2 linked regions of the Drosophila melanogaster genome follow. The protein of the gene in region 1 interacts with the protein of each later gene in a pairwise test. Each region holds a gene or a part of one and is shown in the gene's direction. Other genes may lie near its edges.

Region 1 (6,870 bases):
CAAAAAGACAATTTCTATCATTATTATTCAAATTAATAATTCAAAAGAAAACAATAAATTCCCATAGCGAAATCATTCTGAAATCCTAAAAAAGGTGATGATGATCCAGATGATCTATAACAATTCGTAATATATTCCATATATAATAATCAATTTATTTCAATACACTTAGGATAGAAAAATTCAATCAACCGGACGCTAATGTTGTCGGCTTCGACGCTGCGATGAAGGTGGGGTACGAACTGAACCGCTTACAGAACAATGACCGCCGCTGCAGTGGTGCCAGCGAGCCAGATGCTGACGCTGCGATGGTGGTGGGGTAGGAACTGCCCCGCTTACCCCGAGAAGAAAGTGCTGCGTTTTAACTCCTCCCCCTTTAAGACCTGCGTCCCACAGGTTAAGTAGCCTTGGTCTGTCCGGAGGCAACGGGCGGATGCGAGATCACGGTGATATTGCCTGGTTTCCTCCACAGGAAACACAAGAGAGAAAAGGTGAGCAGAGCCAATTCTGCCTCCGTTAGGAATGACCTCGGCCATCTTTTCCAAGTTCTTTAAACTCACGTCATGTTCGTACTCCAGAGATAGCTGGTAATCGTTGGCTGTTACTTGTGTTAGGACGGCCGGCAATGCCATCCTGTAAATTTGTATCGATTTGCCAAAAAACTTTTTGCCACGCTCACTCTATCGCCCAAAAGTCGACCAGCCAGTCATGCCCACACTTTGGAACAATGTTATATCCCCGATGATAATGTTCCAATTGGCTCAATTACCTGACACGCTTCGTCTGCCTTAGTTTGGGTTTGACACAAACGTACAAAATTTTTATTCCTCCATTTAAAAAATTTTTTGAACTATGATTTTAAATTTCATTTTTTGCTTTACCAGTTTCTAATGAAATGGCAAAATAAATCGTCACCTAAAAATTTAATAAATAGTTTAATATATTAAAGCTTAACAAAGAAACAAATATTTTTAAATTTCTACAGCTCTCTCCCCCTAGATGAGTATCGGGTATCTGATACTCCAAAAATTCTACTCTGGTTTCGTGTTTTTATATAATATTATTCTAAATTCTTACTAAATAGTGTCACTGCAGGTGCACAAATTGTATTGGATTGGGCACTGGGCCATAATGATTATGCTTACATATGTAATTATTAATACGGCTATTTTAATCACTTAAAAAGAATAATTTTAAATTTTGTAAAAAAAAATTTTGTATGTGTTTTTGACTTTGATCAAAGAGTCAAAGAGAGTGTTTTCGTGCTGTAGCGAAATTGAAGCGAAAGTGTTTTCTGTAGCATTCTTAAAGGTCTACCTGTGGGTGGTTAATCTGCAGTTTAGTTGTGCCATATAAATAGCTGAAGGTTAGGGAAAAAAGTTTCGTTATATATGCGTTTAGGTGTTTTATTCTATATCTATATATTTACTCTCCTAAAACAGAAGAGGGATTTTCCGTTAGCTAATCCATTAGTCAATTTTAAAAATTGGTTACGGAAAAGCGATTTTTTAACAGACCTATTTCCTTTTAATTACATATCTTAAATCTTAAAACTATGTCAAAACTTGTTGAGCTAGCTTACTAATGGCGATATAAATAATCTATATCATATATTAGAATTAAATCTCTCAACTGTTGTCTGTGCGAATAGTCTATAATGAAACATTTAGGTCTGTTGGAATATGGTATAATTAAAATTGTCAAATTATTGCACATTGATATTAATCAAAAATTGTATGTCCTCAAATAAACGATAACAGTTTTATTCTGCAAAGTTTGCACTGTAACAAACCAATTGTATCCACCAATGGCCTACAATCATGATGGTATGCCAGACCAGCAATTTCTTTGGGATGTTTTTCAAAGGTAACAGTCACAGAATAAATACTTCTAACTAGCGATAAAGCGACTTTTTTTTAGAGTGGATAAAGATAGGAGTGGTCATATATCCGCAGATGAGCTACAAGTGGCCCTTTCGAATGGTACCTGGTCTGCATTTAATCCGGAGACTATCCGTTTGATGATTGGAATGTTTGATCGTGAAAATAAAGGGACTGTGTCCTTTAAAGATTTTGGAGCGTTGTGGAAGTATGTGACGGATTGGCAAAATTGTTTTCGATCCTTTGATCGTGACAATTCTGGAAATATTGACAAAACTGAGCTGAAAACAGCACTGACATCATTTGGTTATCGTTTATCTGACCACCTAATCGACGTCTTACTACGAAAATTTGACCGCTTTGGGCGTGGTACAATTCTTTTCGATGATTTTATTCAATGTTGTATTGTGCTGTATGTAAGTATGACTGTTATTGCAATATATGAGTACAAGGTAGCTGTTGGCTCTAGAGATTTTCGCTGTCTGGCTTATGAAAAAATTTTTGAGATAGCTTTGAAGCCAGCACGAAAAAATTGTATGGCGTTTCGGGTTTTTTCTAATGTCTTTGCAAACAAACGCTCACCACTTATAAATATGTCAGAACGCTATAGTCGAGTTCTTTACTACCAGTTACTCAGGTAGTGGGAGTGCACGGGAGGTATGCTAATCATCAGATACCCATTACTTCGATTGGGGGTGTGCAAGTTGGAGAAGTTGGAGATATTATAGCAATGCTTTTCCCATTGTTATGCTCGCTAAGGATGTGTAAAGTTTAGCTGAGAGTGCTTATGTCTATATTTCCTATTATTGATTATATTCATATATAAGTTGTTGTCGTTTCCCGTTGTTGGCGCATTTCCCTCTATGCCATCCTTTTTATACCTTTTACTCGTAAACGGGTAGTATACCCGTTCGTTCGTTGAGAAGTATGTAGTGGAAGCGGTTTCGACCCTATAAAGTGTGTATATCCCTGATCAGAAACACTAGTATAAACGTTGTGAACTAGTGATTCTAGCAATCCCACAAAGCGGCTAAAGCGTCCACAACTTTACTTATTTCTATCAATATCTAAATACACATCTTTTAAGCTATGATAGGCAAGGTAATTTACCATAGCATTCTAATTTGTTATACCCGTTACTCGTAGAGTAACTAGTGATTCTAGCAATGCTTACGCAGGGCATATTTTCTTTAGAACGTTTTAATCCCACAAATCAAAAGGTTATACTAGATTAAAAGTCTGTAACAGGCAAAAATAAGCATATATTCTTGATCAGGATCAACAGCCGAGTGTAAATCTATATGTCAGAATCTATTAAAGCTAGAAGGTTGAGATTAAGCATACAGATTCTAGAGACATAGACGCAGCTTCTCCCACGCCCACTTTAACGCCCTAAAGTCGTCGAACCGGTCACGCCCACACTTTGGAACAATTCTTAAATTTTTTCTCATTTTAATCCCCAATATCTATCGATATCCCAGAAGAATAAAAAAATTTCGCATTCGCATTCACACTAGCTGAGTAACGGGTATCTAATAGTCAGGGAACTTGTTTATAGCACTCTCTCTTTTTTTTCAGTTGTTTTTCCAATTTTATCGATATGGCGAAAACATTTTGCCCACGCCCACTCTGGACACCACCCAAATCTATCTCGGCCAGACCTTAGAACATTAAAATTATTTTTCCCCTCAATTTCTCTTGTTATTCCTTGAAAATGTTGAAAATTCTATGTCCCACGTGAACTAGCTGAACTAACGGGTATCTGATAGTCGTGAAACTCGACTATAGCCTTATCTCTTGATTTTTCTACATTATCAAAATGTTCGTCGTTTACATTTATGGCTAGACAATCATTTAATAAAATCTTCTAAACTGAGGGAGTGATTCGGAAAATTTTTGTATATCGCTAGATATTTAACATGAAAGCTAAAACATTTAAGTGTGATGGTGACAATTTTGAGCTGTTAGTGGACTTTAGTTAACGCACTGGGAGCGGGATCGAGAGTGCAATAAAACTTTCCTTTCCTCAGAAAACTTTTCCGCAGAACTCGCCCTTAGATTAGTTAGGCTTAAGCGTATATGAAAATAAAGTTGAGTTGCTTATTAAAAATAATCGAATCAATTTTAAATAAATTTCCCAAACGTCAAATTTTAAGTTATAAATTTTATTTTGTGAAATTTTAAATTTCGTACAAATTTCGTTAGTCCCGTACCGTAGCAAAGACGCGGCTGATTGATGTTTCTTAACAAAATTAACATTATATGCGGGGACAGCCTTGGTAATTTCAATTAACTTAAAAACTAAATTAGATAATTAAAACGTCGTCTTCTTCATTGACTTATTTGTAGCAATAAATTTTGAATGGAAAAATTTATTTATTAATGAAAAAAGCGATGATCCGAATTTGGGACTGGCATAAGTGAACCCACAATATGATAAACCTTGAATCTGTCGAAATTAAGGTAAATGCACTGTTGTCAAACCGCTTTGACCCATAAATAAATTATAAATCAAGAAAGTTATATGTTATGTTGTGATGAAAATAAGATGTCGTTGTTAAATGATGTTTGTGTCCATGTTTGCTCGTCCATTGCAAAATCAAAATATAAATTATTTTAACGGTTGGCATGAAACTATTTTCAATACATCTAAATGTTAGCTAAGAAATGTTATGAAACTGAACCATCACCAGACAGAAGAGATTGTAATGGCTCTGGTTGAAATGGTGGCACTTTTCATCAGCAAAGCACAACCCTATAGTTTCTTTTGGATATTTGCGTGCGTTACAATGCTGGCATAAAACAATCATCGCACCAAAATCAATGCATTGATTGTGCCATTCATTATAGCATCAAAACGATATGATGCTCAATTCAAGTCCGTCTCAATATTTTTACGCCGCACACGTCTGTTTTCAGTTTCTTGATTATCACGTGCAGCAGAACGACGTCCTCTTCACGCATTATTGTTTCACTTTCTTCTTATGCGCAATTCACGCTGACGAAGACTTGCCAACCGCCGCGCTGTTCTACTTCGCGTTGCAAGATTTGAACGTCGTGGTCGCTGCATTTTTTTTTACTAAGTCGTACTAAGATGTTGAAAAATGTTTGTAAGAAAAATCAAAATGATGCACTTTGAATGCGCGAAAACAGCGAATGAAACAACGAAAAATGCACAATCGATTTACGGATATCCTCAATTAGCGATAATCGTTTGAAAAAACACACACCTATTTATAATAACACAAATGTAACCAGGAATCCACTAAAAAAAAACAAGAGAGAATGCTATAGTAGAGTTCCCCGACTATCAGATACCCGTTACTTTAGGCAGTGGCAGCTTTGGGCGGTTTTAGGGCGTTAGAGTGGACATGGCAAAAAGTTTTTTGGCGAATCGATAGAAATTTACACAACTATATAAATTATTCAAAAATATCAAAAAAAAAAAAATAAATAAATGTCCTATAACAACTTTTGGCTTTAGTCCACGCTTGCGGCTGTCTATGCGGAATTCCACACACCTGTAGCTTCTCCTGCTGATCTACTTTTACAGCTTCTCCTGCCGCGATCTTACTCGGACCCCGGACATATATTAATATTACTAAATTTTTCTATTACAGACATTAACAACTGCATTCCGCCAGCACGACACTGACTTGGATGGGATCATAACCATACATTACGAACAGTTCTTAAGTATGGTATTTTCGTTAAAAATATAGTATTAAGTGATCTAAACTAAATAAATGATTTGTTTTGCGCTATACACAGCTACACATATTGCTAAAAGTTTTTATTCGAAAGAGCATACCTCCTTTTAAGAGTTTTTTACCAAAAAACTTTTTAAATGTTGATAATAAAAACTGTTATAACTTAGGCGATAGACGAAAATATCTCTTCAGATTTCTCCAGGAATTTCTAATATACTGTGATTCTAAGACCGCAACAGTTCAACCAAAGACAGTAGAATAACAAGATGCGTAACGGCCATACATTGGTTTAGCACTATACAGCCACTTTTTTGGTGACGGCCAAAATTGCCCTGTGTCCGCTCGCTTACGCTGAGAGAAGAAATCTAAAAATAGAATTTTCTTGCTTGAGTGAGCAAAACCAGAGACCAGAACGCGTATATGTGTGCGTGTTGTGATAGAAGACGATTTTCGGGCCGATTTACATATTTGGGGAGTTTTGGCCAATTTCGTAGGAATATGATGAAATTGCGCGCTGTTTAAAAATATTAAATTAGAATATAAAAAAAAACTCAATATGAAAAACAACCTAATGTGCATTTTAAATAATAAAACTGGATCATTTACATACATACAAAGGAAATTATTATAACTACTACTTCTTTTTCCAAAAAGAAGACATTACATTGAGAAATAAATATTTCATAAAAATAATACGTAGTAGAAAATATAAACTTATTAAATAAAAAAAATATGAAAACTGTTTATTGCAGAAGTCATATCAAAGACACTAGAATTATTCAAGTGTTTTTGCTTTGGTCATACAAAGCACAAAGTGCGGACACAAGCACTCAACGATCATTGCCGTGTTAATTTTTCACACGCCGCAAGCTGAATACTCTAATGACAAATATTCTAATATAAAGTCATTTTTGAAATTTATTTTGCGATATGATTCGGCTATTACTATTTCTAAGCTATATTTAAATAATAATAACGTTTAGGCAATGCAAAACAAGAATTTTTCGCCAATTGTGCCAATTGATCAAAAATAATATACATTTAAAGTCTAAGAACTTCTAAGGTGAAGGACATATTTAGTCAAATTTACAATGCACGAGCATACATGTGCACACATACAGTTGTCTGCCATCACTGTATGCGTAGAAAAGAGCTGTTCGCTGAAGAGTCGACAGAAGATTTACAGCTTCTTAGGGAAGTCTAATTTTTAATTACATATACCCGTTACTCGTAGAGTAAAAGACTATTCTAGATTCGTTGAAAAGTATGCAACAGGTAGA
Region 2 (5,918 bases), on another chromosome or scaffold:
GCTGCGTTACCCACACCGGTACCAGATCAACCTTGTTCAGAATGAAAAATAGATGTTTGTGCGGTTTTTCCTTGCGCAAGAACTCCTCAATGTACTTCGAGCGCGTGCCCATGGGATCGCGGGCATCAAGAACCTGAAGCAGCACATCGGACGCATCGACCACCTTGTGCAACTCGTTCCAGATGCGTTTACTCTGCCCCGCACCGAACACCCAATCACGGACGGCCTTCTTTTCGCCAGTATCCTCGCGGATTAGATCTAAATCCTTAGCTGAATCGTACTTATCGGCCTGGTCATCGGCCGCCTTGCTTAAATCTTCCAGATCGCGAACCTTTAGGCTGACGCGCTTGCGCTGCTTTTTGGGCCCAAAGGTACTGTCGAAGCTCTCGGTGTCCAGCAAATGAACCCTTTTGTATTTTGCTGCCTCGTTCAGTAAAGTTACCGGTAACTGGGATGGCTTCATGATCACCTGGTAGGGATCCTTGACAGCCTTGCCAATCTCATCCTGGAACTTTTGCAAAGCAGTTTGCGAGATAACGCGGGAATTGCTAAACCACTTGGGCGTAGGCTCAACTCGAGCCATTGTTCCAGCAGGCAGGCGCCCCTAAAATAAAGCACATTTCCAGGATTAGTATGAATTATTAAATGGGTTGTGGAAAACATATTCGGCATTTTCTCTCTTGTATTTAATTTTTTCTTTTATATATTTACAACAAGAATGAAAACATAAGATTTGTAATTAAATTATTATACGGATAATAAGTCGTAACAAAATATACTTATGAAATCTTTTTATCTTTTAATGCTTTTAATTTTGAGTCGATCGTTTTAATTGCACCTTTGTGAAGTAGATGATAATTTTGAAAACTAAACAATGGTTATTGGATATTCATGTTGCAATAAATCCTTCCTATGTCTATAAGTGATGGTAAATCTTATGAATCCAAAGATAAGAATTATCGAAGATACATGTTGTAAAGCTAAATCTCACCTGGAAGGGGGCGGGCGTGAGGATCTTTCCAGTGCGATCGCGCTTGGCCTTGAAGTTACGGTACATCTGAAGCCGCTTGATGGTGCCCTTAGTGCGGGGGTGGGCGACTCCCTTGAGACCGCTTTTGGGGCGCTCCGGATTCATGGAGTGGTTTGAGTGGTTGAATCCCTGCGTCCGGGGCTTACCCGGGGTGCTGCGTACCTTTGGCATGGTGTCTCAAGAATGTCGTGTGCCTTGTTTATAAATCAAATCGTATATTTGAACACGATCAAACCAAACCACACGTGTTTTTATATGAAATAAAAAAACAAAGGGATCGTGCGTTTTTCAGCACTGTCTGGACTTAGTATCCAACACTAAAATGCGCTTCAGAAAATATCGACTACGAGGACTGGCCACACTAAAATCCCAACAGTAATAAACACCAGTTTGGGTACAACTTAACAATTATTTGCATTTATTAAATGCAACTATAACCGGGGCACATGTGGTATTTAAATAATTTTTTGCAAATTTAGTGAATTTAAAAAACATGTAGTACTCTCTTAGCTTCTTTCTTTTTGGTTAAATGTTATGGAACTACTATTCCTATTGGGCATATACTTATGACCATCACTGTGTTCAAGTATCAAGCTGGTTTTATATCCGTGTGCCTATGTACATTTGTATCCGCTTGGCCACGAGCTTTGGCTGCACTTGGCAAACTTAATAAATTAAACATTGAATCCTGCCTATTGCAACGATAATATAATCTGATTTAGTGCATTAAGAACGACAAGTAGCGATTATAATAGTAGATTTTAGCATTTGAGCTAAATTTATTTCCCAACCGCGTCTTGGGATTGCGTATGCGTGAGCCAGTACCTGCATGTGTGTGTGTTTTGGAATGTGGCCCTGCACGAAATTCAAATAGTGACCATCCTTGAGATTTTGCATACTGGCAAGATGGACGAGCACACGTTAAACGACCTGTTGGAGTGCTCCGTGTGTCTTGAGCGACTGGACACCACATCGAAGGTGCTGCCATGCCAGCACACCTTCTGCCGCAAATGCTTGCAGGTGAGTAATTGTTGTGGGTTTGCTACATATATATCATATAACCGAATGATTTCATCATTCTATGCCAGGACATTGTGGCCAGTCAGCACAAGTTGCGATGCCCGGAGTGCCGCATCCTGGTCTCTTGCAAAATTGATGAGCTGCCTCCAAACGTCTTGCTGATGCGAATCTTAGAAGGTAACAGCTAACGCCCACACCAACCTAAACTGGCACAGCACAACAGCCTACGCTCAAAATCAAAGAATGGTTGACTTTATGAGTGCGGCAAAGTGGCTTTGGCAATTGAATATGGCGTTTACCTGGTCTTTACCTACCTTTAAACACCCTTTCTTTAATTCTCACAGGCATGAAACAAAATGCAGCAGCTGGCAAAGGAGAAGAAAAGGGAGAGGAGACTGAAACACAGCCGGAAAGGGCCAAACCTCAGCCGCCAGCGGAATCAGTGGCCCCGCCTGACAACCAACTACTCCAGCTGCAGTCACATCAGCAATCTCATCAGCCGGCTCGTCACAAGCAACGTCGATTTCTACTCCCCCACGCCTATGCCCTCTTTGACTTCGCCTCCGGTGAAGCCACCGATCTAAAGTTCAAGAAAGGGGATCTGATACTGATCAAGCATCGCATCGACAACAACTGGTTTGTGGGTCAAGCGAATGGTCAGGAGGGCACATTTCCCATCAACTACGTCAAGGTATCGGTTCCGCTGCCCATGCCGCAGTGCATTGCCATGTATGACTTTAAGATGGGGCCCAACGACGAGGAGGGATGCCTCGAATTTAAGAAAAGCACTGTAATACAGGTAATGCGCCGAGTTGATCATAATTGGGCAGAAGGACGAATTGGCCAGACCATCGGAATCTTTCCAATAGCATTCGTTGAGCTGAATGCAGCGGCCAAAAAGCTGTTGGACAGCGGGCTACACACCCATCCATTCTGCCATCCACCGAAGCAACAGGGGCAGCGGGCCCTTCCTCCGGTTCCAGTTATTGATCCCACGGTGGTCACGGAATCCAGTTCGGGATCCTCCAATTCCACGCCGGGCAGCAGCAATTCAAGCTCCACATCCAGCTCGAATAACTGCAGTCCGAATCACCAAATCTCACTGCCGAATACCCCCCAACATGTAGTAGCTTCCGGATCGGCGTCTGTTCGTTTCCGTGACAAGGGAGCAAAGGAGAAACGCCACTCACTAAATGCTTTGCTGGGAGGAGGAGCTCCATTAAGTCTGCTGCAGACCAACCGCCATTCGGCTGAAATTCTTAGCCTGCCCCATGAACTAAGCCGCTTGGAAGTTTCCAGCTCAACAGCTCTAAAACCCACGTCAGCCCCACAGACATCGCGTGTACTTAAGACCACTGTTCAGCAGCAGATGCAACCGAATTTACCCTGGGGATACTTAGCCCTGTTCCCATACAAACCACGCCAAACGGATGAGCTGGAATTAAAAAAGGGTTGTGTTTACATTGTGACCGAACGATGTGTGGACGGTTGGTTCAAGGGAAAAAACTGGTTGGACATCACTGGAGTGTTCCCGGGCAACTACCTGACGCCCCTGCGCGCCCGCGACCAGCAGCAGTTAATGCATCAATGGAAATATGTTCCCCAAAATGCAGACGCCCAGATGGCACAAGTACAGCAGCATCCAGTTGCACCAGATGTGCGACTCAACAACATGCTGTCCATGCAACCGCCTGATTTGCCACCTCGTCAGCAGCAGGCTACCGCCACGACCACCAGTTGCTCTGTGTGGTCGAAACCAGTGGAGGCGCTGTTCAGCAGAAAATCGGAGCCCAAGCCTGAAACTGCCACAGCTTCGACTACGAGCAGCAGTTCCTCTGGAGCAGTGGGACTTATGAGGAGATTAACTCACATGAAAACACGCTCCAAATCTCCGGGAGCGTCCTTGCAGCAAGTTCCGAAAGAAGCTATTAGCACAAATGTGGAATTTACAACAAACCCATCAGCTAAATTGCATCCAGTACATGTAAGGTTAGATCCGCAATAATAAGTTATCTTTATAGACCAGAATAAAAGTTTAATTGTTTTGTCTCTTCAGATCCGGCTCGTGCCCCAGTCAGCTGCAGCACAGTCAACCGCTCAATGAAACTCCAGCAGCCAAGACAGCGGCACAACAACAGCAGTTCCTACCCAAGCAGCTGCCTTCCGCTTCTACGAACAGCGTTTCGTACGGATCGCAACGCGTGAAAGGAAGCAAGGAACGTCCTCACTTGATTTGGTTCGTTAGGCTTAATTTGAATGCTTTAACTTTTAACTGACTCTTGGATTTTGATTCAGCGCGAGACAATCATTAGATGCAGCTACATTTCGCAGTATGTACAACAATGCCGCGTCGCCGCCGCCACCTACTACTTCCGTGGCCCCAGCTGTCTACGCCGGCGGTCAGCAACAGGTGATTCCTGGAGGTGGAGCGCAATCCCAGTTGCATGCCAATATGATTATTGCACCCAGCCATCGGAAGTCGCACAGCCTAGATGCGAGTCATGTGCTGAGTCCCAGCAGCAATATGATCACGGAGGCGGCCATTAAGGCCAGCGCCACCACTAAGTCTCCTTACTGCACGAGGGAAAGGTGGGTTTTGCAATACATTATTGTGAGCTTAGAGATTTACTAATGCAACCTTTTATCGTAGTCGATTCCGCTGCATTGTGCCGTATCCACCAAACAGTGACATTGAACTAGAGCTACATTTGGGCGACATTATCTACGTCCAGCGGAAGCAGAAGAACGGCTGGTATAAGGGCACCCATGCCCGTACCCACAAAACCGGGCTGTTCCCCGCCTCCTTTGTTGAACCGGATTGTTAGGAAAGTTATGGTTCAAACTAGAATTTATTAAGCGAAATTCCAAATTACTTGTCTAAAAGGATTCAATCGTCGGTCTATTCGGGCTTCCAAATACGCAATCTCATATTTCTCTTTTCAAAAAAGAAACCGTTTTGTACTCTTCCAATCGAATGGGCAGCTCGCCGTTGTACTTTTTTATACAATGCTTGATCAAAATAGGCTAGCCATGTAAGACTTAGGGAACAGTTACTTAAGCCTTAGCGATTAGTTAGCTAGAGAAATAATCTAACCGATCCTTGTGCCCTCTACAAAGTTATTTGTAATATACGATACTCAGTAATACCCTTTGGTCGTTTTAACTTATTTTATTCACCAAGCAAAACATCGAGGCTAACTGTGGATTCAACTACGGCAGGCAAGGTTACTCGCTTTTTTCGAACTTGGATCCGTAGATGGGCACGTACTGTAGGACCAGCTTCCAGTCGGTGTAGTAAAGCACGGCCAGGCCAGCAGCTCCTCCGAATCCGGCTCCAGATCGGATGCTACGAATTAAAAGAAACTAGTTTAGTTCTCTGGATGGGGTTATGCAATGTGTGCTTTGGTAGCAGTAAAAGAGCGGGAACACTAATGAATTCATGATGCAGAATCAAGCACGACAGCATATACTTACAAGGAACTCGCTATCTCAGCGTGCTTCTTGCCAAAAGGTATGCGGAAAGCCATTTTTGTTGATTTAATAACTTTTCACACGCACCAAAATGTTCGCAATGAACGCAATAGTTTCAAATGTCCTAAATAATACCACTACAGTGTGACCGTAGGATAGCGTAAAACTTTAAAAGCAAGGTGTGACAACACTGTGCGGCCTACGTGAGAACAACAACTAGTCATCAACAAAAACTAATATTCGCAAAGAACTCATCAAAAATTACGAAATTAAAATGAAAATATCCGTTTTTGGGGAGCTTAACACATTCGAGCTGTTTGTCCTGTCCACTGTGATACCGGCGGTGTTCGTTTTCCTTTGGACTCTGATATCTGGCGATATGAAGGTACGGCAGATA

The links.
Region 2: the proteins of Alg-2 (region 1) and POSH interact in a two-hybrid assay, tested with the Drosophila melanogaster proteins (one study listed by BioGRID).

What each region holds. Positions count from the first base shown.
Region 1 is NT_033777.3:3,621,410-3,628,279, forward strand, and holds Alg-2 (Apoptosis-linked gene-2), read left to right. Parts: upstream 1-1,733; 5' UTR 1,734-1,807; coding exon 1,808-1,866; intron 1,867-1,920; coding exon 1,921-2,296; intron 2,297-5,500; coding exon 5,501-5,602; 3' UTR 5,603-6,281; downstream 6,282-6,870.
Region 2 is NT_033778.4:17,567,128-17,573,045, forward strand, and holds POSH (plenty of SH3s), read left to right. Parts: upstream 1-1,604; 5' UTR 1,605-1,936; coding exon 1,937-2,050; intron 2,051-2,118; coding exon 2,119-2,227; intron 2,228-2,394; coding exon 2,395-4,039; intron 4,040-4,106; coding exon 4,107-4,286; intron 4,287-4,345; coding exon 4,346-4,639; intron 4,640-4,700; coding exon 4,701-4,875; 3' UTR 4,876-5,195; downstream 5,196-5,918. Other genes in the region: Ns2 (nucleostemin 2), read right to left, coding at 1-604, 992-1,201; UQCR-6.4 (Ubiquinol-cytochrome c reductase 6.4 kDa subunit), read right to left, coding at 5,276-5,396, 5,525-5,577; CG42239 (uncharacterized protein), read left to right, coding at 5,796-5,906.